4 linked regions of the Saccharomyces cerevisiae S288C genome follow. The gene in region 1 interacts genetically with each later gene. Each region holds a gene or a part of one and is shown in the gene's direction. Other genes may lie near its edges.

Region 1 (8,163 bases):
CACTTTGCCATTGGGACTAGAACTAGAAGTCAACGAGGAATTCGCATCAGCAAACTCAAAAAAAACATCCAACACCAAAATTTTCTTCAAGAATCTGCCGTTTTTATCCAAGTGGAGCTTCACCAGGATTGGTTTGTCTAATGAATAATTCCATTGTGCTCTATGATGTTGCACATGCACGTGTTTTGTTGTACCTCTACTCTGGGTCGAAGTGGTTTGATGCTCACCGTCCAGAGCCACTTTGTGTCCCGACGTACCTGTTCCATCCTTCAAACGCCATTTCGTGTAGCAATAGCCAGAAGATTGAGGAATATTTACCAATTCTTTGATTTGCAGGTCCAGTAGAAACTTTGGTCTTTTTGCCTTGCTATTATGATTAAATGGCATCTTAATATTTTGTGAGCGGTATTATACCTTTCTTGGGTACCTAATACTTCTAAGCAACCTGAATGAAATTAGAAGGTGTTCACTCCTTCATTAGCAAGTGAGCTTTGCCGTTGTCACCGTACTTGGTCATCTTAAGAGATACAAAGGGGGGGGACCCTGAGAAAACTTCTCCCGAAAAAAAAAAAAGAAATATACCCACGCGTTCTTTACCCGGAAATAAATATCTTGATTTAGCCGCCGAGATTGTTATATATGCATCCAAGACCTCTGAATGGTGGCTAATTAAGACACTTAACTGATTACGTTTCCATCAACTGCTATCATGTTCGCAATATTTGGGCAAGAAATGAAAAAGAAAAGTTACCAACTCTTCTCCCTTCTACGAGCGGTGAATACATGGGAGCCGAGCCGCATGAAGATGAAAGTAATATTAAAATTAAAGTCTCTATCGAAGCAGTGACTCTCTCCCTATCAGCCGGTAAATTTTTTTAACGAAGTGGAGCTAAATTATCAGAAAACGTAGAGCTGGTATGCTGGTAGATCTAAACGAAGTCCAGTTTACATCAAGATGATATCGTGCAATATTTACTACGGCATGACTTAACAGTACAGTCATGATTTAGGAATTTGAGTGTTCTCCGGGGTTTTGCAGATAAAAATTTGTTTTCTTCTCTGCCATTCCTGGAGATTTTGAAAAGAGTTGGTAATGTGTTTCAAAAGAAAAAAATACATTCCAAGAATAAATACCAGGATTTCGTGACAAAAATTAAAAAAAAGGGAAGTATGGCATGCCTAGAAATCTTTTCTGGAAAACTTGAAGCATATCATATAATTGTATGAACTTGTCCTTCAAAAGATGTTACCAAATATTCAAGAGTATGTGAGCTTTCTATTCTATTGACGCGTAAGAAAGGCTATCACGTGTGGGGGGGAGAGCTCAGCCACATTGCACTACTTTCGAAACCGCGTAGTCGGAAACGACATTCCCCCGTACCAAAACAAACGAAAGGACGTGAAAGGTAAATGAATAACATGGCACTAAAAATTTGGCAGAAAACGAAAAAAAAAAGGAAAAAGAAACTGAAAACTATACGCTTCCCTTAGGATACTTTCTGATTTACATCCGAAGAATTGGGTGCGTCAATTAAAGGCAATTCTTCGCTCTATCAAGCAGTTTTACTGCGTCTGTCTAAAGAAACAATTGTTTTACTGAATTTCAACAAAGTTCTAACTCGAGGTGACCGGAGGCCACTGTAATAATAAAAAATAGAAGATGAGTCTCGAAGGAAATACCCTAGGCAAAGGGGCCAAATCTTTTCCTCTGTATATTGCGGTAAATCAGTACTCTAAACGAATGGAGGACGAGCTCAATATGAAACCAGGTGATAAAATTAAAGTCATTACTGATGATGGGGAGTACAATGACGGCTGGTATTATGGGCGCAATTTGAGAACCAAAGAGGAAGGTTTATACCCAGCGGTATTTACCAAAAGAATAGCAATAGAAAAACCAGAGAACCTGCACAAATCACCAACCCAAGAGAGTGGAAATTCTGGTGTTAAATATGGAAATTTAAATGATTCTGCGAGTAACATAGGTAAAGTCTCCTCGCATCAACAGGAGAACAGATATACATCATTGAAAAGTACAATGAGCGATATAGACAAAGCCTTGGAAGAGCTAAGAAGTGGTTCAGTTGAACAAGAGGTATCAAAATCGCCCACACGCGTGCCCGAAGTTAGCACTCCACAGTTGCAAGATGAACAGACTTTGATTCAAGAAAAAACCAGAAATGAGGAAAACACGACACATGACTCGTTATTTTCTAGCACAGCGGATTTAAACTTAAGTTCTGAATCTTTGAAGAATATAAGTAAGTCAAATATATCAACAAAATCCCTAGAACCGAGTTCGGAATCAGTTCGTCAATTAGATTTGAAAATGGCTAAAAGTTGGAGCCCAGAAGAGGTTACTGATTACTTTAGCTTGGTTGGATTTGATCAATCCACTTGCAATAAATTCAAAGAGCATCAAGTCTCCGGAAAAATACTACTGGAATTAGAACTGGAACACCTAAAAGAATTGGAAATAAATTCTTTTGGTATAAGATTTCAGATATTCAAAGAAATAAGGAACATCAAGTCTGCAATTGATTCGTCGTCAAATAAACTGGACGCCGACTACTCTACCTTTGCTTTTGAAAACCAAGCTGCCCAACTAATGCCTGCAGCCACTGTAAATAGAGACGAAATCCAACAACAAATTTCCTCCAAGTGTAACAAGTTGTCAAGTGAAAGCTCTGATAGAAAATCATCTTCGGTCACCACAGAATTGCAAAGACCAAGCTCGGTTGTTGTTAATCCCAATTTTAAACTTCACGACCCAGCTGAGCAGATCCTAGATATGACAGAAGTTCCTAATTTGTTTGCTGATAAAGATATTTTCGAATCACCGGGAAGGGCTCCAAAACCACCATCATATCCAAGTCCAGTTCAACCTCCACAATCGCCCTCTTTTAATAACAGGTACACAAATAATAACGCAAGGTTTCCTCCTCAAACAACATATCCACCTAAAAACAAGAACCCAACCGTTTATTCAAATGGGCTAATTCCAAATTCTTCGACATCTTCCGATAATTCAACGGGCAAGTTCAAATTCCCTGCCATGAATGGTCATGACTCGAACTCTAGGAAAACAACACTGACATCTGCTACTATACCTTCTATTAACACGGTTAACACAGATGAATCTCTACCCGCAATTTCAAATATATCTTCAAATGCTACATCTCATCATCCGAACAGAAATTCCGTTGTTTACAATAACCATAAGAGGACGGAATCCGGAAGCTCATTTGTTGATTTGTTCAACAGGATTTCAATGCTATCGCCAGTCAAGTCAAGTTTCGACGAAGAAGAAACGAAACAACCTTCAAAAGCTAGCAGAGCAGTTTTTGACTCAGCACGCAGAAAGTCGTCTTACGGACATTCAAGAGATGCCTCACTTTCTGAAATGAAAAAGCATAGGAGAAACTCTTCTATATTATCTTTTTTTTCTTCAAAAAGTCAGTCTAATCCAACGTCACCAACCAAACAAACTTTCACTATCGATCCCGCAAAGATGACTTCCCATTCTCGTTCTCAGTCGAATTCCTATTCGCATGCAAGATCACAATCTTACTCCCATAGTAGAAAACACTCGTTAGTTACCAGCCCCTTGAAAACTTCTTTAAGCCCTATAAATTCCAAATCCAATATTGCTTTAGCGCATAGCGAAACTCCTACTAGTAGTAATAATAAGGAGGCAGTATCACAACCAAGTGAAGGGAAGCACAAGCACAAGCACAAGCACAAGAGCAAGCACAAACACAAGAACAGTAGCTCCAAAGATGGCTCTTCCGAAGAAAAAAGCAAAAAGAAATTATTTAGTAGCACCAAAGAATCATTTGTAGGAAGCAAGGAATTCAAAAGATCTCCCAGTGAACTTACCCAAAAATCTACCAAATCGATACTTCCCAGGTCGAATGCTAAAAAGCAACAAACATCTGCTTTTACCGAAGGTATACGCTCTATCACAGCAAAGGAATCTATGCAAACTGCGGACTGTTCAGGCTGGATGAGCAAAAAAGGTACCGGTGCTATGGGGACTTGGAAACAACGGTTTTTCACACTTCATGGAACAAGGCTTTCTTATTTTACGAATACCAATGATGAGAAGGAGCGTGGCCTGATAGATATAACGGCACATAGGGTCTTACCTGCCAGTGATGATGATAGGCTCATTTCCTTATACGCTGCGAGCTTAGGAAAAGGAAAATACTGTTTCAAATTGGTCCCTCCGCAACCGGGGTCCAAAAAGGGGCTAACCTTTACAGAACCTCGCGTTCACTATTTTGCAGTTGAGAATAAATCTGAAATGAAGGCATGGCTGTCAGCCATAATAAAGGCCACTATTGATATTGATACAAGCGTCCCTGTCATTAGTTCATATGCCACACCAACGATACCTCTAAGCAAGGCACAGACGCTATTGGAAGAAGCTAGGTTACAAACCCAGTTAAGAGATGCTGAAGAGGAAGAGGGAAGAGATCAATTTGGATGGGATGACACCCAAAATAAAAGAAATTCTAATTATCCAATCGAACAAGATCAATTTGAGACCAGCGATTACCTGGAAAGTTCAGCATTTGAATACCCTGGTGGCAGACTTTGAGAACTGCAATCATTAGTTACTTCTTGACCAACTTAAACACCTTAATAATTAATATTTAATAGAACATAATATAGTGATATAAAGTATATAAAAATAAAAAGTTTACGAATTAATACAATCAAATTAGACACTGATACTATCAAGAAGTACATCGCAGGAACCGCAGACATGATGTCCTCTTCTTTCAAATTACTGGATATATATATTATTATTATTGTTACCATTAACGTTATTATTATTAACTATTACTATTACATTAACTTAAAAATAAATATGAAACAACGAAGAACAAAAAGAATTATGAAAACATTTAACATGTTTCAATTTGTTATGTTTTGGCCAACCTGCGTTTATTCTTGCATATGACATTTTTGTAATTCATCGATGATAACTTGGTTACCCTTTGGATCCAAATTCATAGCAACAGTTAGCTCCTTGATTGCATCTTTTTTCCTCCCAACTATTCTATATGTTTGACCCAGCAAATAATGGGCTGTGGCATCATCAGGAACGAGTTTCACCAATTCTTCAAAAGTTTGCAAAGCAACATTATATCTTGTCATGGAATAGAGCAACTGGCCCATCTTATATTTGGATAGCGAGGAAGTCGGTTGCAAATGACATGCTAGTTCATAATATTGTAGAGCCTTTTCCTTATAGCCCAGCTTTTCTAAAGAACCACCGCAACAACAGATTAACACAACATTGACGGGATTAATTGACCTTGCCTTTTCAAAATATAACAACGCTTCTTCATATTGACCTAATTTCATAGCGCTCGTACCCAATCCGTAATATGCATTGTAATGCTGAGGATCACAAGCTAGCGCCTTTCTATAGCATGTCTTGGCAGAATCCGAAGAATCGTTGGAAGAATGTTCATGACCTTGCAAAGTATACGCGTATGCAAAATTTGGGTCTAACTGAGTAGCTTTTTCGAAGGCTTTTATTGCGGCATCATGATCCTTTTGCAATGATAGCAAATTACCTATACAACACCATGTTTCGGGCTTATTAGGCATTGTATCCATTAGCCCATTTGCCAAATTTGAAGATTTAACCTTGTCATGCAAATGCCACAGCAAAGTAGAAAAAATTTCCATATCTTTTACCCTTGCCGGTTGTAGGTCTTTCAATCTATTGAAATACTTTAAGGACATATCATAATTAATGATCTCAAAATGAAGTTTTCCTAATTGCACTAGACACCATGGCATTGTGTCTTTAATATGAGATGGGATTTGAGACTCGAACAGTCTTATTGCCTTGAACGAATTGTATTGTGATGACGACCTTAATATTAAAGCGAAATTATACATGATTTCAGGCAGCGTAATTGAATAATCACTCGTTAGTATTGAGTTACTGATTATTAAAGACCTTGGATTTTTCTTGGAAGTTGTTAACCTTCCTGTTGAGGAATATAGGTTTCTTGGAGTTTTGAAAGTTGTTTTATTTATAATGTTATTATTATTATTATTATTATTATTATTATTATTATTATTATTATTATTATTATTATTATTATTGTTATTTTGGTGGTTCCTATCGTTATTTAACAGTTTCGATGGAGGAGTCGTTAAAAGTTTGTTTCTGTTATAAACTTTGGCCAACGAGCTTATTGTAGGCTGTTTGGAGGATGGAGACACTAAGTTCATGGAAATGTTATTTGGTAGCGCAGAAGACGTCTTACTGTTGATTGCAGGGTTTTTAGGAGTTTGAGTATTTTTGTTCTGGCAGGTCCTTATTGATGTGTTCGCTTGTTGCTGCTGTGACCTTGAGAAATGCTGAATGGAAGAAAAAGAAGATGCCGATGTAGAAGGGGGAGAATTAGACGACTGAAACAGTGTATTAACATTATTATTGATATTATTATTGCCGTTTTTGTTTGTTTTTGAATATAAGCTAGGTTGTGAACGAGGTTCGAAATGCGATAGTGATGTAGACGGAAACGATGAAGCTGCATTATTATTATGACTATTACTTTTTTTCCCTGCAATGTCGAAAAAAACCCTCTTGAGATCCACGGTAGCTCTCATTTTACAAATCGCTTCGTAAGATTCCCAAAGGTAAGGATTAATGGCTAATGCTTCAGAATGATAAAATGCTCCCTCCTTAGAATGGTCCAGTTTCATATAAAGATTGCCTAACAGGCAATTCAAAGTGGCCAAATCGGGAATATGGACGAGATTAGAATTCAACACCATATTTATGCGCGTATTACTGCTGTTCGAAGAAAATACATTTATTATTGAGAGAAGAGTGAGGATAGCTTCGTTAACTCCCTGCGAAAGCTGTAAAGCACAACGCCCGAATATGTAAGCGATACCAAGATGATACTCCTTGAATTCTTTGGATATCTGGAACGCAGTGTGGTAGCTTTTATTCAGAAACAGCGAAAGTGCATATAAATATACCGCATCGGACCAGTAAACACTTGATTTATCGAGAATGGAGCATTCAGCATAGAGCAGTTCGGCCAAAAACTCTGCGGTACTGTAGTTCAACTGCTGAATAGCCTGCTGAATGCAGTCCTGAAGCTGTATGATGGTGCTCAAAGCTTGATCATCAAAGCTGGGGATTCCTCTCGAGAGGGTGAACGGTGCTAACTCAGGATTTACCGCCATGCTATTTTTATTATGTATCCTGCACGAAAAGTTCGTGTCGATTTATGAATAGATATGCAGTCACCAAAACAGAGTCTAAAACTCTCACAGCTAGGTATGGTTTTTTGATAAACTTTTCTGTGGCACCTTTGCTTGCACTTTGATCCTTTTGGTTTACTTTCAGCCTGTTCCATCCTTTTGATCAAAAAAAAAAAGGAAAATCAAGCGCGGGTAATAACGGCACCATTAAATACTAGTAGTACTATATAGATGGTATAAAGAAATGATTTAAAACAATACGATTATATGATATTTATACATCTGTTTCAGTTGAGCTTTTTTTCCATAGAGCTGGTGGTACGAAGATGGCTTTTGGCGAGGGCGACCGAACCAGATAGCTGCGTCAAGGCCAATAGAAGCAACAGAACAGTATTCAATGCCAACAATAGCGTGCTTGCTTGTGAGTTTGGTGGATAGGAATTCCAGCACCACTCGTGCAAGACGTACCAAATGGGACCAACGAAGAAGGGCATTCCCGACCAAAAGATCAGTATAGGCAAAGTCCAGTGATACCAGGATAGAAACTGGTAGTGGAGGGACCTTGAAAATAGGACGCCGATGAAGTTGGATGCGATTAGAACGAATGGAATAGTCTTGGCGGGATTGGCATTGAGCACTGCATTTTTCCTCAGCGGATGGCACAGGGAAGACCATAAATCGGGCAGGATGCGAGGGTATCTTGTGACGAACAGTGTGGTGAGCGCTATCAGGTGGCTGATTAAAAGGGCCAAGTGGAACCTCTTATCATTGAAAGCCTCTTCATCCATCATTTGCCAATTGATACTCCATTGGTACATAAACTTCCTGCCGAAATTAAAAGCGCAATGCAGGTACTGTTGCGGAAAGCTGCGCAGGAAGGGCACTGCAACTGCGACTTGCCATGCAATCATCGCA
Region 2 (5,896 bases), on another chromosome or scaffold:
ATACTTGACTGAATATGCTCTGGTGTACTAAAAACATTAGTACTATGATTACTATTCCTATTAATATTATTGCTATTATTATTGTTGCTATTGTTACTATTGTTAATATTATTATTGTTATTGTTACAATTATTATAATAATGGTTATTAATATTATCATTAGTACCATTCTTGTTCGGCTTCAATGTTTTTTGCGACTTGAGTATAATGTTTCCGTTTACAAAACTAAAAGTGTTTTGTAACTGCACTAGCAAATACTGCATTCTAGATAATTTTGACGGATCAAAATTTAAGTTTGAGCCTGCCTCTTGTTTTGATTTTTTTTTCTTTTGCTTGGATTTCTTTGATGGATGCACTTTCAAAGACTTTGTGTATAAGACTTTAAATCTATCATGACATTGACGAGAGTTTCTCTCGTACCCATATTGTTGGAATAGGATTTTTGAAATTTTTTTCCAAAAATTCTTCATAGGCTTGAAATATTCTACGAATGTTAGTAATTGAGAATTATTCATTATTGTAGTAATGAATGCTATATCCTCAGGCTCTTTCCATTTTTTCCTTATCTGTCTTGCAGACGAGGAGGATGAATTAGAGTTGTTTAGCTCATTTTCGTCAATAGAGCCTGAGTTGGAGTTGGAGTTCGAATTAGAATTGGAGTTCGAATTCGAATTTGAACTGGAAATTATTCTTGGAGTAACTAAAGAGCAGTCCGAACCCGTTTCTTCATTAAAATTTGAAGTAATGGGTGTGTTTAAATTTGGTGAATAATCAGGGAAATTTTTGCTTATAGTGCTAGACTCATCCATTAGGTTCAACTTCGGTTGAAGATATTCCAAGTACATTTTATAAATATCAGTAATAAAATGATGAGAAAAAAAAAAAAAGACTTAAAAAAAAGGACTGAGAAATAGTTAAACGAATACGATAATATGATATACTACCATGAACTGTAGTCTGGATAACCAAACGGAAAAAAAGGAAATACAAAAAAAGTCAGATTGTAAGGAAAAAAAAAGAGTAGTTTCAGTATTACGAAAACTATTAGATCTTTCTTTAATTTGAACAAGAAAACAAGACTATAAAAAAAAATACTCTTTAGGATGCAGACATAAAAGAACAATACGACCGTCCCTTATTTATATATAGTCCATAGAAATAATCTCAACCAATATAATATGCAAGAAAATAACGAAGTAAGGAACAAGCACAATGGTACGCCCGGTCTTGAAAAAGTTTAAAACAGTACTCGACCCTAGGCGCTAGGGTGGGTGACGCATTTTAACTTTGCAACAGAATGCCATATGCGGTGTTAACCTCACAAGATCGGCTCTACTATCTGCAAGCTGCGGCAAATACCAGAGAAAATTCCATTCCCGTCGACAAAATTTAACCGACCCCCCCCCCCCCCAATTTACGTTTATCAGCTAATCCAAATGTGGAAGGGCAACATTCTCGACGACTCCTTTTTCCGTAATTTAAGTTTGCCCAGGCAAAATCTTATACTTGTTTTCGTAAGAGAAAGATGCGCAGATCCTTTAAGGTTACCTTCAAGCAAATCCAGAAGCACAAATGGCAGGGGAGAAAAGACATGAAGCAGGAGTAGTCAACCGCAAAAACCCCCGCGGGCTTGTTGTTCTGCACATTTTTGATGTGTTTGTTCCTAAGACAAAGTCCTAACTTAGGGTAGTAAGTGACTATATTCTGCACGCTCTTAAAGCAGCCACCTCGTTTAATTTTGCATGCTTATATAAGCTTATAAACGAAGTACCTGAGGACCTGCATCGGCCGGCCCATGTGAAAAGGAAGTATTTACTTTTTCTTCTTCTTTACTATGGAAATAGCTGGAATCCGACTATGCATATGCGTAAGAAAAGAAAATGAAGGAGTTTTCACAGGAAAGCACACTTGCATACTGGGCACAAGTGAGGAGAGGGGCCTGTAATGCTTCTGTGTTTAAAAGACTCCGAAATTAGTCAACGCAGATTTGCAGATGCACGCAAGAATACATAATCAATCACAGTAAGCACATCTCCCCAAGGAAAGAGTAAATGCCTTCGAGCCAGCATTGTGGTCATGCGAGATGTCTAAGAAAAATACTTCGATAAGCACGAGGAAATGTAATATGTCTATCTACCTTATTTTTTTTACAATAAACATATAATAAATCCCTTATCTGGTCACGTGAATTAAACTTCGGGTGTGTTGTAAGAATGGAAGGAGTAAGCGAAACTCAAATTGAGGCCACTTACCACTTCCGGTCGAGCCCGGCCCAGAACCAGTCGTCGGCCAACTTTTTTCTTGGAACAGCGTTACCGCACCTACGCGAGAAATAGTAGATTATAGATAAGAAATACAAGGAGAGGGGTGTGGATGAGCTTTTTTACAAAATAGTGTAAGGCGTCCGGGAAACCCCAAGAACGTTTTTTGACATCCACTAACAGGATTACCCGTCATAGATATACTGGTGCCATTACCCGTTAATGGCATCTTGTATATTTCTTTTATCTTTCTTAACATTCCTGAAAATTGGTAAACAGTAAAAAGAAAAGAAAAAGAAAGAAAAAACATGTATTATTTTGAATTTACTGGAAAATAGGCAACCATTGATTTTCGTTTTTTTATCGTTCTCATCTCTAGCTCTGGTCAGCATTTTTTACTTTATAACAACAAGTTTTTCATTAAAATCCATAGTAGCACAAGGTAAAGGGAAACAAACATGTCATTTCTATGTGGGTCAGCTTCAACGTCAAATAAACCGATCGAAAGAAAGATCGTTATTTTGGGCGACGGTGCCTGTGGTAAAACTTCGTTGCTGAATGTTTTCACCAGAGGTTATTTTCCCGAAGTTTATGAGCCTACTGTTTTTGAAAACTATATCCATGATATTTTCGTTGACAGTAAACATATCACGCTATCGTTGTGGGATACTGCGGGCCAAGAGGAATTTGACAGGTTACGATCCTTGTCTTATTCAGATACGCAATGTATAATGTTATGTTTCAGTATTGATTCACGCGATTCTTTAGAAAATGTCCAAAATAAATGGGTGGGTGAAATCACTGATCATTGTGAAGGCGTCAAGTTAGTCTTAGTTGCACTAAAGTGTGACTTAAGAAACAATGAAAATGAATCTAACGCAATCACACCGAACAATATCCAACAGGATAACAGCGTTTCTAACGACAACGGAAATAACATAAATAGCACCTCAAACGGCAAAAACCTGATAAGTTATGAAGAAGGTCTAGCTATGGCTAAAAAGATCGGTGCGCTACGTTATTTGGAATGTAGCGCTAAGCTGAATAAAGGTGTCAACGAAGCTTTCACAGAAGCCGCAAGAGTTGCTTTAACCGCGGGCCCAGTAGCAACCGAAGTGAAAAGTGACAGTGGATCCAGCTGTACCATTATGTAATATAATAAGACACGGACGCACACACAAAAGAATAGAACCCAAAAAGAGAGACTAAACAAATAATATAATAAGTTATAGAAGTTAATAATACTCCTACTATTTTATATTTTTTATGTAATTACTACCACTGCTTAAAAAAAATATTGCAAAATATCATAAAAGTTTTTACTCATCCTGTTCTTTCCCCTCCAGCATGTGCTCGAGATAAGTCGAAGGTGTAGGTTTTCTTTTGGACTGTACGACCAACAAATTACCCTTACTATGGTTACGATTTACGCTACCATCACTTTCTGGTGAATTAAGCAGCTTTCGACTTGGTGAAGATGCAATTTTTGCGGGTTTCCTTATGTCTTCACCCACCTCCTTTTCATTACCGTTATCGAGCGACGATGCGGATGATGAAGAGATTGTAGACACCAGAGAATTTGTAGATACATTATCACTTGTCATAATCACAGGTTTCTGTAATAATCTAGGGCTTTCTTGGTAAAGTTTAGATAGCCTTGTTTTGTATAAGATATCACCTGTTGGTGAAATGAAAAGTGAATTTCTGTTGGATTCGGATGCAAGAGAGAATAGCGGCCTTTCGAAATTACTTAAGAATGGTTTTTCATTATTAGTATGAGATACAAGTGCATCTTTCACCGATTCATCCTTATTTCCGGGACTAATATCGGACTCGCTGATATGGACCTGATCTTGGAAATTTTCTTTGGCGGGATAATCCATATATGGGGAATCGCCGTAAAACTGGGTATGTTGTGTGGAAAACATCTTTGATTCGTAGTCCTGAACACTTCTGGTCAACCTATGCGAAGAATAAGTTGTTATTACCCACCATAGCAATATTGCCAAAAAAATCACTCCCGCGATTCCCCCCACTACAATGAAAACTGTTCCATTAGGCATATCCCCGGAATCCAAAATATAAGGATTACCATTTCTAGAGGGAGGAGTAATACTTGGTATAATAGAAGAGGATGTAGAGTTGGACAAAAGTGGTAAAGAAGATGAAGAAGAAGCAACAGATGTTATCGTACTACTTGAACTGGCAGTTGTTGTCGAAGAAGTGGAAGTGGTTAATTTTGGAAGGCCTCTCTTGGCAATGGTGATTACTGTCATTCTTGCGTTTTGAGTGTCAATTTATTCTATTTTCAACGACCTTTTAAAGTAATAATGAGTGCTCTTGACTTAACTCTAATGCTATAACTGTTTCTTTGCACCGATGCGTTCCTTTGAATGATCTCAGGTAATATATTAAATATTTTTCAAATGTCTTTACCACATTCTTCAGTAATACATTTTCTCTCTAATTTTTCATTTTCCATTTTCCATTTTATTTTTAGAACGTGTGACAAAGTTGTTTCAAGAACAATATAGAATTCTTAGCCAAAAAGAGAAAGCAAGAAAATTAAACTTTATTTGTCTAAGAAAAGCCCGAACAGCGAAACCGATCACTTCCCAGGATCGGAAGGTGTCACTTTGCGCCTTTTGCTCCGCCGCTCTTTCGTCGGCGTTCTTTGCTTCCCTGGGCGCTGTCGCATTAAGAATATCATGTATATTCAGGAACAAAGGTAAATCACCTATAGACGTGCGCCGCAATAACCCTGCTAAGAAAATTCATTTAAAAAACTTACCTGCCAGTCTTGTTGTTTACTCAAACCACATACTATGATTATACTTTTGTCAGAGTTATGCGATGCCGCTTAAGCTTTGATTAAGAATTTTTTTCTCTTCTTTAAGTATGCCGTGCACTTTTCGCTTCTCCAAAATATGACCCAATACTCATTTGGTTATTTTTACCAAGTAATCGATCAGATAGCATTAATAGCGTGAATATTTGATGGAATAACATATTAGAAAAGCTTTAGCTGGCAATTCTTGTACTGTCTTTCGCCGAAACCTGTTTGATGACTACTTCATCAATTTTTTTTTTTTCTGCCGCATTCCAAAGGTCATAACTTTGCAAAAATAAAGGGTAAATGGTTAAAAATTGTTATCATAAATAAGGTGACCGGTTATATTGAGACCTTTCCTGGACAGTAACTAATACAGAAGCCATTGGTAATGCAATAATTTATTTGATCATGTGACTACGATCCGGGTGAGACTATTCAAAAAAGGAGTCAAGCATTGAAATAATTAATGACTAATCCGAAGTTAATTGTTAGGAGTCAATTGTTTTTTCCAATGAATGGAATCTGAGATGACTAAACTACCAATTTTCAATAGTTCATGGTATAGTGACGTAGTTAGTGCTTTTTTTTCTTGGATCTGTTGACTCACTTCAATTGATGTTTCTTACCCTGACATGACATACTTGATATTTTATCTCTCACGTTATATAACTTGAAAAGGATGCACACAGTTCTGTTCAATATACCCTCCAATATGTAAAAACAGTTTTTCCATTGATTACTCTTAATTTGTTTCCTGCTAAACCAGCAGTACGTGTGTGCCGTATATATTAAAATTACACTA
Region 3 (5,486 bases), on another chromosome or scaffold:
TTTCATCCAAAGTAGCCTTTACGGATGCACTTGTAAATGTTAGCTTTTGTATAAGTAGCTCCTGTGGTGCTCTTTTCCTAAGATCCTCTCTTATTAAAAGATTGACATCCTGGACAATATCATCCCATTCTTCTATCATGCCTGCTGATTTTTCATATAAACCCAAAAAAGAACCATACTCTAGCTGAAATAAATCTGAAAGATTACTTAGAATTGCATCCATGACTTCTTGTGAAATTTTGTCCATCAGCACAACAAATCTTTGAACTGGATAACCTGAATATCTGAACTTCTTCAAAGAAGATGCTAAAACAGGAAATAGTTCCTGCAAGTCCTCAAGATTGCTTGCCTGGCGAACCTCATCGATAGGGATTGACGATAGAAATTGGTTATATTTATCCGCTAGCTTAAATTTATCTGAAAGTGAACCTTCATTCAATAAATTTGTTAAATTATGAAATCTCTTTGCGTTTGTTAGAACGGATAGACACACCTGAAATTCTTGGCTTTGTGTTTGTTCAATTAACGACTTCAGTACTTCGTAGAAATTCGACCAAAACTCAACTTCGTCTAAAAAAGAACCATTTTTTATATCTCTGTCAATGGCTAATGTTTGTTTAAGAACCAAAAACCATTTGTTTGCAATGCTTTGTAAAATGTTCAAAAATCTCATACTTTCCAAATCATTACTAGGAAGGTAGTTTGCATAATCATGTGAAGTAGCCCCTTTTGATACAGCCAATTTGATAATGCTAGGGACCATCGCTAAAAGATCTGGCGTTTCAATTGAGGTATGTAACTGTTGAAATTGTTTAGAAATGTCGTCAAGTTTCCTCCTCGTTTTATCTATAGTTTCGACAGAATATGTCTTTGTATCTGATTTTATCAATTGGCCAAACACAGACGATACGCCATGTGTGATAATTGAGGCCAGGTTCCCCGCATTTACTGGACCAGGTAAGTATATGGCACTTATTTGTGTTGCAATCGGTTCTGCATCCACAATAACACTTCTAGATTTAATAATTAATAGAGTAGAATACTTTTTATTCGCCAAGTTGGCATCATATATAGCCTCTTCACCAATGTCTATTGTAACTATTGTTCTATCCAGCTCTTCAAAAAGGAAGACAAACAACGTGTCGAACTCTCTCCCATCCAATAATCCCAAAAAAAATTGAAACCGTTCAAGGTATTGACAATGTAGATAATCAATGAATGCTTGCTCATTCTCTTTGGGAGAATTCTTTATACCCGTTACAGTAGCTGCAACAAATTCTATCAGCTCATTAGCAAGTCTTGCCTCATTCTTGCACATTGCCTAAAAAACGTTTTGACGTACTTTCCAATTTAAGCTCTGAACGAGTATTATTGCCCTTCTATGTTCTATGCTTTCTGTTAATTTTTATATGTAATGTTTGTTTACCTTTCATTAGCTTATTTATTAGAATCCGTACAATGCGACCTTCCGCGCATCAATTCGGGATGATCTGATTAAGTAGTTATAGCCTTACGTTAAGACGACAAAAGACATGATAAGCATCCCTCAAAAGTTACAGCAAACTTAAGTCAAATAGGTCCAAAAATCTCCAATAGTAACGCTTTTTCATGAATACACTATTATTTAAGCGAAAAGGTGGCAATTGTGGGAACGAAAGTAACATAGTTTCGCAGGGATCGCCCTCAAGTAGCAATCTTCCTGAATCACCTGGCACTTTAGATGAAAAGAATCTTCCCAGATTGCCTACTCCATTCGCTAGAAGCCTTTCTACCATTCCTAGTTATGAGCAGATGAAACGTACAAACAAACTGCCAGATTATCACCTAAAGATTGTTGTTGTGGGAGATGGCGCTGTAGGGAAGACGTGCCTGCTGATATCTTATGTCCAAGGAACATTTCCGACTGATTATATTCCTACTATTTTCGAAAATTATGTCACAAACATAGAAGGACCCAACGGTCAAATTATAGAATTGGCATTATGGGACACTGCCGGCCAAGAAGAGTATAGTAGACTTAGACCGCTTTCATATACGAATGCAGATGTGCTGATGGTGTGCTATTCTGTTGGTAGTAAGACATCGCTTAAAAATGTGGAAGATCTCTGGTTCCCAGAGGTTAAGCATTTTTGTCCTTCCACTCCAATCATGCTAGTCGGCCTTAAATCAGATCTATATGAAGCTGATAACCTTTCAGATCTGGTGGAACCAAGTTCAGCAGAATCCTTGGCCAAGCGTCTGGGGGCATTTGCACATATTCAATGCTCAGCACGATTGAAAGAAAATATCGATGAAGTATTTGAAACTGCCATACACACGTTACTTTCCGATTCATTATATGCTCCCAGAGAGCCTACACATACAATCAAAAATCCCTTTAAAAGAAATACCACCAGATCAGATATCGATTCTTCTACTGGAGATACCAGCGTCTCTATTTCCGGAACGAAAAGATTAAGAAAAAACAAGTGTATTATAATGTAAGAATAATGATGAAGATTATTCTGTTGCCCATTCTGTACGCACTTACAACATTTGAAAAGTGGCAAGAAAAAATACACACATTTTACTATCTTCCGCTATCTTATTTATCAAGACGAAACAATTAGAACCTGATTTAATTTAACTTCCATTTTTCTGAATCTGGTGTGATATACCGCTCCAATATATTCGAATTTATCCCAATTTTATCATAATAATTCATTTTAATTCGATGTCATAAAGTACTAATTCGATATTAATCTAGCCTAATTACATTAAATACTTAATAAAAGCTTCTGTGACATAAAAGTACAAATCTGTCATTTTATTTTAGAGGAATAGTTTAGGACAAAGTCATTATGTACGAACAGTTTGAATTTTCTTTTTTTTTCTTCGAAAATTCAGACAATAAGGTTAAATATAAAGCTCATCTCATCTCATCGATAAAACGCTGGAGTATTATCACATGCATGCGTTGCTTTTGGACCGTACAGAAGTCTATATTTAAAGCTAGGTTTTTCGCTTGCAGAAACTTTGTCAAGAAGCATAATTATAAACTAATCAGCACCATGACTGGAAGTACTGAAATGGTACCACCAACAATGAAACATACCGTTGACAACAAAAGGCTTTCGTCTCCTTTGACAGATTCTGGTAACCGCCGGACTAAGAAGCCAAAGTTGAGAAAGTACAAGGCCAAAAAGGTTGAAACAACTTCTCCGATGGGTGTCCTAGAATTTGAAGTGAACGATTTGTTAAAATCTCAAAATTTGTCCAGGGAGCAGGTTCTGAACGATGTTACTTCAATTCTAAATGATAAGTCCTCAACAGATGGACCTATCGTCTTACAATATCACCGAGAGGTAAAAAATGTCAAGGTCTTAGAAATTACTTCCAATGGCAACGGGTTGGCTTTGATCGATAATCCTGTTGAAACAGAAAAGAAGCAAGTTGTTATCATACCGTTTGGCCTGCCCGGTGATGTAGTTAATATCAAAGTCTTTAAGACCCACCCTTACTATGTCGAGAGTGATTTATTAGACGTAGTGGAAAAATCTCCAATGAGAAGAGATGATTTAATTAGGGATAAATATTTCGGGAAATCTTCAGGAAGTCAATTAGAGTTCTTAACTTACGATGACCAACTAGAATTGAAAAGAAAAACAATTATGAATGCCTACAAGTTCTTCGCACCAAGGTTAGTTGCTGAAAAACTTTTACCCCCATTTGACACCACCGTAGCTTCCCCTTTACAATTTGGCTACAGGACCAAAATTACGCCTCATTTCGATATGCCAAAAAGAAAACAAAAGGAACTATCAGTAAGGCCTCCTTTAGGATTTGGTCAAAAGGGTAGACCTCAATGGAGAAAAGATACTTTGGATATCGGCGGACATGGTTCGATATTAGATATCGATGAATGTGTGCTTGCAACTGAAGTTCTCAACAAAGGATTGACTAATGAAAGAAGAAAGTTTGAGCAAGAGTTTAAAAACTACAAAAAAGGCGCGACTATTTTACTGAGAGAGAATACCACTATTTTAGACCCTTCCAAACCAACTTTAGAACAGTTAACCGAAGAAGCCTCTAGGGATGAAAATGGTGATATAAGTTATGTCGAAGTCGAAGACAAAAAGAACAATGTCAGGCTGGCTAAAACTTGCGTTACCAATCCTAGACAAATTGTCACTGAATATGTTGATGGATATACTTTTAATTTTAGTGCGGGTGAGTTTTTTCAAAATAATAACTCTATCCTGCCAATAGTGACCAAGTATGTCCGTGATAACTTGCAAGCTCCCGCTAAAGGTGATGATAATAAAACAAAGTTTCTAGTAGATGCTTATTGTGGATCAGGTCTTTTCAGTATATGCAGCTCCAAGGGCGTAGATAAAGTGATTGGTGTAGAAATTTCCGCTGACAGTGTCTCTTTTGCAGAAAAAAATGCAAAGGCAAATGGTGTTGAAAACTGTAGATTCATCGTTGGAAAGGCTGAGAAACTCTTTGAGTCTATTGATACTCCAAGTGAAAACACTTCCGTTATCTTGGATCCACCACGCAAGGGCTGTGACGAATTATTCCTAAAGCAATTAGCCGCATATAATCCAGCCAAGATTATTTACATATCGTGTAATGTCCATTCCCAGGCACGTGATGTCGAGTACTTCCTCAAAGAAACAGAAAACGGTTCCGCCCACCAGATTGAAAGCATAAGAGGATTTGATTTCTTTCCACAAACGCACCACGTTGAGAGTGTGTGTATAATGAAGAGAATCTAATTGCACATATAAAATATCTATCACTATGTATATCTTTCTAGAGTAAATGTCTTCCTGTACTTTTAAATCCGTACATTTTGAAAATTGAAAATGTATCTCAGATTCATTTTTCAATTCGAAATGAACGAAAATTACACTAAAAAGGTAACGTGTAGAGTGATATTATGCACAACGATTTTTTGAAAATTTCATATACGTTATTCTAATGTTTAGTAGAGAGTTTAGCGGAAGATATAAGGTGATCAGGCGTAAATTAACCACATACAAACCATAGAAACATCATACCAAAATGGAAAACGATAAGGGCCAATTAGTATGTTCGAGAAATCTATAAGATTTTTTATATTTTAACGGATGAATGGAAAGTGCATGGCTGTTTAAATAAATGTAAGAAAGATATCATAATGCAAACAAAACGTAGGCATCCGCAATGTATGGAAAACATACTTATGGTTACCGATAATAAGCAACTCCGAAGGTGCCATAGACCAGCTCTGAATGCAGCCTACAAAAGTTGAGCAATTTCTGACAAAATTCTTCGATTACTTTCTTCACATGTATTAAATCATCACTCACCACCACCAACAATGTGTTTTTTAAACTAGCATAACTAACAAAGATTTGTTTTACATCAGGTCGAACTTTACGTTCCAAGAAAATGTTCTGCTACCAACAGAATCATCAAGGCTGATGACCACGCATCTGTTCAAATCAACGTCGCTAAGG
Region 4 (5,804 bases), on another chromosome or scaffold:
TAAGTCATATAGATCTATTTTGCAGTACACTCACAGACACAGGAAGTTTTGCACTTCATTCGCCTTGTTGCTGAACGACTTGATAAATAGTCCACTGAATTGTTCAGGAAATATATATAGCCACAGGCCGAAAAGAAGCTATCTTTTTAGAGAAGATATTATTTTCAGGGAATTTTCTTGCATTAACTTTGCACTAACAGATTTTAATGACGATTATGTGTATGATTCTCCCGACATGATTAATAATATAATTGGATGCCCTACATTGACTAAAGTGCTTTCTCCAAAAGAAGAATGTGTTCTGCGAATTAGATCAATAATATTTTCTGGCATGAAATTTTTAGAGAAAAATGACACCGGCGTCATATGGAATGCCAGCAAATATAAGTTTGATTTAATAAGCCCAAATATTAAAATAAAACGCCAAATAGCATTATCGGAAATTTCCTCCAAAATAAATGTAAAAACACAACAGGAAAGAGTAGTCTCTTCGAGAAAAGTTGAGGCCAAAAGAGATGAACAACAGCGCAAAAGAGCCGGGAAAATAGCTGTGACAGAACTGGAAAAACAATTTGCAAATGTCCGGAGAACAAAAAAATTGTCTCCGCTCCCAGAAAAAGATGGCGTTTCTTCTGAGTTGGTAAAACATGCTGCTTCACGAGGGAGAAAAACTATCACTGGCCCACTATCCTCTGATTTTCTCTCATATCCAGACGAAGCAATTGATGCTGATGAGGACATCACCGTCCAAGTGCCAGATACTCCTACTTGAGAGAACAAGTAATGGTGAGGGAAAAAATCATAATATGAAATATATTATGACGACGTCAATTAACGTCGTCCACGCCTGTCGTCGTCAACCCACGAAAATATGGGGGCGGTTTTTATAACGGTTATTAAAACGACGGGATGCCGTCTACGGCACGGACAAACCCATCGCTTTGGAAATAGGTGACTGCGCTTGAAAAACATAATTATTTATTAGCATAATAAATTCAAGACAGCAAATATATATGCTGTCAATACGTACATATTAAGCCTAAATATTCTGTGGAAAAAAGAAACAAACTGGTAATTATGGAGAAAGCTTTGGAATTAGACGGAGAATATCCGGAATCTCTGAGGGATGAATTCAACATCCCTACATTTAAATCCATGGGACTATCGTCCGACGATAAGCCTGTGACGTACTTATGCGGGAATTCTTTAGGTTTGATGCCGAAGTCAACTAGGAATTCAATTAATGCTGAGCTAGATGCGTGGAGCGATTGTGCTGTGGAATCGCATTTCAAACATCCTGAAGAAGCCAGAGGAAAGGTGCCTTGGGTCAGCATTGACTTACCTATTCTTCCACTACTAGCCCCCATCGTGGGTGCTCAAGAAAATGAAGTTGCAGTAATGAATAGTCTCACTGCAAATTTGAATTCATTGTTAATTACGTTTTATAAACCTACTGAGAAAAGATTCAAGATCCTTTTTGAAAAGGGCTCCTTTCCATCAGACTATTATGCTTTCTACAACCAGTGCAAAATTCATGGAATTTCGGAACCTGAGAATGTTTTTATTCAGATCGAGCCACGCGAGGGAGAGACTTATATCAGAACTCAAGATATCCTGGATACCATAGAGGTAAATCAAGATGAATTGGCGCTGGTCTGTTTGTCAGGTGTTCAGTATTACACGGGGCAATATTTCGATATTGGCCGAATCACCTCATTTGCCCACCAATTCCCCGACATATTGGTTGGATGGGATTTAGCACACGCTGTAGGGAACGTCCCATTGCAACTTCATGATTGGGGTGTTGACTTTGCCTGTTGGTGTTCTTACAAGTACTTGAATGCCGGGCCTGGTGGAATTGGTGGCTTATTTGTCCACTCGAAGCATACTAAACCAGACCCTGCTAAGGAAAGTTTGCCAAGATTAGCTGGTTGGTGGGGCAATGATCCTGCTAAGCGATTTCAAATGCTGGAAGTATTCGAGCCGATTCCAGGAGCATTGGGATTCAGGCAATCTAATCCAAGCGTTATTGACACAGTGGCATTGAGAAGTTCATTGGAATTATTTGCGAAGTTTAATGGTATTAATGAAGTTCGTAAAAGATCGTTGTTGCTGACGAACTATATGACGGAACTGTTGGAAGCCTCCAAGTATTACAAACACCCTTTAAGGATCGAGAAATTACCATGTTTTTTTACAATATTAACTCCAACAAGCACAGATGAAGAACATGGCGCCCAATTGTCACTTTACTTCGATTCTGACACTGGAAAAGAGGATATTATGCCCAAAGTTTTCCAATATTTGCATGACCATGGTGTCATTGGCGATGCAAGAAGACCAAACGTAATTAGATTGGCTCCTGCTCCCTTATATAATACATTTTCAGATGTATACATTGCGGTGAATGCACTAAATGAGGCGATGGATAAGTTGTAGTCCTAGAGTGACCGCATCGCCTTCATCTTCTTTTGGATATTATATATGACGTAGTTTGAAATTCGTATACTTACTGATAGCGAACCTATAAATTTATACTTTCTTTCCAAGAATTAAAATAAATATCTGGGCCCGTGTATTACTTACCAGTTGCCGTGCATAGTCGTGAATCTTCTTTCATTTATCAACCTTCTTCCAATAATGAAGCTAACTTATCAGTGGTAGTACTGTTGAACGAAACAAGCCGGAACTCAAAAGGGTAATTTCGTGAAAAACAATCATCTACGGTATAAATAACAATTTAATTTACGTCTCTTTCGAAAATGCTCGTGTAGCTCAGTGGTTAGAGCTTCGTGCTTATAGCAACATTCGGTTTCCGAAGTTTCTGTGCCAAAGACCTTTCAAACAGGCCTTTAAAAGCAACGCGACCGTCGTGGGTTCAATCCCCACCTCGAGCACTTTCTCTTTTTTTTTTAAAAAAAGTTGCATTATTTCTATCAACTGTTGTAGCTACGTTACACCTAATTTTGTATTGTAGACTGTTAGATAATCCACATATACAGGTAAATACGGCACATTGTCTTCTAAACATCGCATTAAAGATGTCTTCCACCGTCGATTCAAGGGTCATTCAATACGGGTAATACTGCTTCCATTGGGCCCTTCCAAATGAAACAAGATACGGGAAAAAGTGATAAAAAAAAGCAAACAAGGTTGATTGATCGATGATAGACGCGATTCTTGGAAAAGGCAAGAGCAGCGTTTTGATAAATAGGTTCCAGGTGTACCGAGATATACTGATTATCCTTCTCTGTCATTCTTCACTTTTTGCAATAGGTTTCCTTTGTCGCAAAAAATTATATTCGTTATTTATTATACTATTCTATTTTCCTGAGGAGATAGGTTAACAAACGAATTAGAGAAGCAAAACTTATAAAACAAGAAATAAACGTATTAGCTCTTCCACAAAATGCAAACGCTAAAGTGTGTTGTTGTCGGTGATGGTGCTGTTGGGAAAACGTGCCTTCTAATCTCCTATACAACGAATCAATTTCCAGCCGACTATGTTCCAACAGTGTTCGATAACTATGCGGTGACTGTGATGATTGGTGATGAACCATATACGTTAGGTTTGTTTGATACGGCCGGTCAAGAAGATTACGATCGATTGAGACCCTTGTCATATCCTTCTACTGATGTATTTTTGGTTTGTTTCAGTGTTATTTCCCCACCCTCTTTTGAAAACGTTAAAGAAAAATGGTTCCCTGAAGTACATCACCATTGTCCAGGTGTACCATGCCTGGTCGTCGGTACGCAGATTGATCTAAGGGATGACAAGGTAATCATCGAGAAGTTGCAAAGACAAAGATTACGTCCGATTACATCAGAACAAGGTTCCAGGTTAGCAAGAGAACTGAAAGCAGTAAAATATGTCGAGTGTTCGGCACTAACACAACGCGGTTTGAAGAATGTATTCGATGAAGCTATCGTGGCCGCCTTGGAGCCTCCTGTTATCAAGAAAAGTAAAAAATGTGCAATTTTGTAGTCATATTAGTATATGCCCATCTTTTCTTAATCTATATCTAAAATTAACTTATATATACACCTTCCTATCCTTTTATTATCGTTGTATTTCATTTTTTCGCTTTGCTCAGAGTTGATTCTCTTTGTTTCTTGCGCCAGGATCATCCGTCTGTTCAAGGCGGAGTAGTGCAAAAAAGTCGAGCCGTCAAGCCCCAAACGTTCAATACTTCCATGTTCTTCAACGCTAAACGCGACATTTGCGAGTCCTACCACGTCTTCTCCGTTTACGGGCAAAAACACCTCTTAACATCAAAAATTTGGCTTTCGTGCTTTTTTCTGAAATATATTCGTTGCATAGACACGGTATGCATATGAAACATTCAGGCTAGCAATCAATACTTAAACCCTTTACGGGCGTGCATGATGTATCAGGAAACCAGTTTGAGAATGTCGCCCACCAAGCTCCATGGAAAGGCGCAAACCAATTACGCGGAACACAAAAATGGGCCTTTTTTTGATCGCCTCAAAGGCCGGACCAGGTTCGTTAAACGTCTGTAGAGGTGCCGAACAATTTTTGTCTAGAATAAATTTCCATTTTTCTGGCATTTAATTCTAGGCTTTCTGGTCTCTTTGTTCTTGCAGCTAGCCCATTGGGTGCTCTTCAAAATATGTCAATATCACCTTGATTTTGAAAATGCGCCCGTAAAATTGGACTTATGCTACAAATATATTCTACAGGAAAAGATCCGCAAGGTCTGCTTTAGCGTAAAAACGACCTCCCAGTATTTTATATAACCTCAGCCATTTCACTGAATGATACATAGTAGCATATATAGCTAGGCCTAAATGTATTTTTTTTTACAACTTTTTAGATCGCTGCGTGAAGGATGAAACTTCATATGAGTACGGACGTTTGAAAGGGTAGAGTGGCGCTAGCATAGAAATGCCATTTCTCGGAGGTGTCATCATTCGAAAAGAACTCAATTTTCAAGCGATTGAGATTCAAAGGCAAACCGATGCCTCCTCATTGGTCACATCTTCATGTAAACTGTGGCTGCTTTTTTTTCTAAATACTCTATGACTACAGCTTTCCTTTGTACAAACTCAAGTTTATTTAATCGTCTTTTTTAATGTTTATGTTCAACATACCCGAAACCACTACAAGACGGAAAATACTAGAGAAACATCAACAAATGAAAAAAAAAGGCTACAATCCTCGGATGAAACTGATAAAAACGAGCACAGTATATGCCGAGTCGTAGCATTTAACGTACTAACACTACTCGCCAAATCATAAGAGCTTCATGCTGACGTGTGTATCTATATCGCTTTTACAGATCCTGCAACCGACAGAGCCGAAAACGTAATTGGTGACTCGTTCCTCGTTCTTGTCGGAAAAATTTAAACGAGCGCGTTCGATAAACTCAACGAAGGCAAGTTTGAACAATAGATGTTGGTCGTAATCATTCGTTCTTCGACTTTTATAGCCTTTTTTTTAACTTAACGAACTCGTACTATCTAATAGTTTATTTCCCCTTGTTTTTTTTTGTTACGATTGGGGAAAAGCAAGGGTTCCCTGCGTCTACGATTACATCATCTACTAACTAGTCACCGAAATCGATTATCGTCGAAGGAGAAGCAACCAAGACCTCCACTTTTCAAAGGCACAAATAACATTTCGCCTTTACATAATATAGAGGAGTTAAGTCGACGGTTTTTTTCATTTAAGGTTTATATTTCGTTTATCCATAGATCTCCATCTAACATAACATGACATCCGATGATGGGAATGCTGGACAAGAAAGAGAGAAGGATGCTGAACTGATTGAGGTTGGGGGCAA

What was found.
Region 2: of BOI1 (region 1) and RHO3, extra expression of one rescues a mutant of the other (dosage rescue), as found in Saccharomyces cerevisiae (3 studies listed by BioGRID).
Region 3: of BOI1 (region 1) and RHO4, extra expression of one rescues a mutant of the other (dosage rescue), as found in Saccharomyces cerevisiae (2 studies listed by BioGRID).
Region 4: of BOI1 (region 1) and CDC42, extra expression of one rescues a mutant of the other (dosage rescue), as found in Saccharomyces cerevisiae (2 studies listed by BioGRID).

The regions. Positions count from the first base shown.
Region 1 is NC_001134.8:62,216-70,378, forward strand, and holds BOI1 (Boi1p), read left to right. Parts: upstream 1-1,660; coding exon 1,661-4,603; downstream 4,604-8,163. Other genes in the region: YBL086C (uncharacterized protein), read right to left, coding at 1-387; anaphase promoting complex subunit CDC27, read right to left, coding at 4,954-7,230; ALG3 (dolichyl-P-Man:Man(5)GlcNAc(2)-PP-dolichol alpha-1,3-mannosyltransferase), read right to left, coding at 7,536-8,163. UniProt on the Saccharomyces cerevisiae protein: Functions redundantly with BOI2 to promote the fusion of secretory vesicles with the plasma membrane at sites of polarized growth.
Region 2 is NC_001141.2:137,033-142,928, forward strand, and holds RHO3 (Rho family GTPase RHO3), read left to right. Parts: upstream 1-2,719; coding exon 2,720-3,415; downstream 3,416-5,896. Other genes in the region: RPI1 (Rpi1p), read right to left, coding at 1-845; pheromone-regulated protein PRM5, read right to left, coding at 3,581-4,537; HIS5 (histidinol-phosphate transaminase), read left to right, coding at 5,896-5,896. UniProt on the Saccharomyces cerevisiae protein: Plays an important role in cell growth. Required to keep the uninucleated state. Modulates morphogenesis during bud growth via directing organization of the actin cytoskeleton and the position of the secretory machinery for exocytosis.
Region 3 is NC_001143.9:546,608-552,093, forward strand, and holds RHO4 (Rho family GTPase RHO4), read left to right. Parts: upstream 1-1,608; coding exon 1,609-2,484; downstream 2,485-5,486. Other genes in the region: DYN1 (dynein heavy chain), read right to left, coding at 1-1,318; TRM2 (tRNA (uracil(54)-C(5))-methyltransferase), read left to right, coding at 2,841-4,760; 40S ribosomal protein eS21 RPS21A, read left to right, coding at 5,050-5,073, 5,396-5,486. UniProt on the Saccharomyces cerevisiae protein: Plays an important role in cell growth. Required to keep the uninucleated state. May be involved in the organization of the cytoskeleton which affects microtubule functions.
Region 4 is NC_001144.5:602,393-608,196, reverse strand, and holds CDC42 (Rho family GTPase CDC42), read left to right. Parts: upstream 1-3,409; coding exon 3,410-3,985; downstream 3,986-5,804. Other genes in the region: EST1 (Est1p), read left to right, coding at 1-772; BNA5 (kynureninase), read left to right, coding at 1,078-2,439; ECM22 (Ecm22p), read left to right, coding at 5,734-5,804. UniProt on the Saccharomyces cerevisiae protein: Involved in development of cell polarity during the cell division cycle, and essential for bud emergence. Affects signaling in the pheromone-response pathway through the STE20 protein kinase.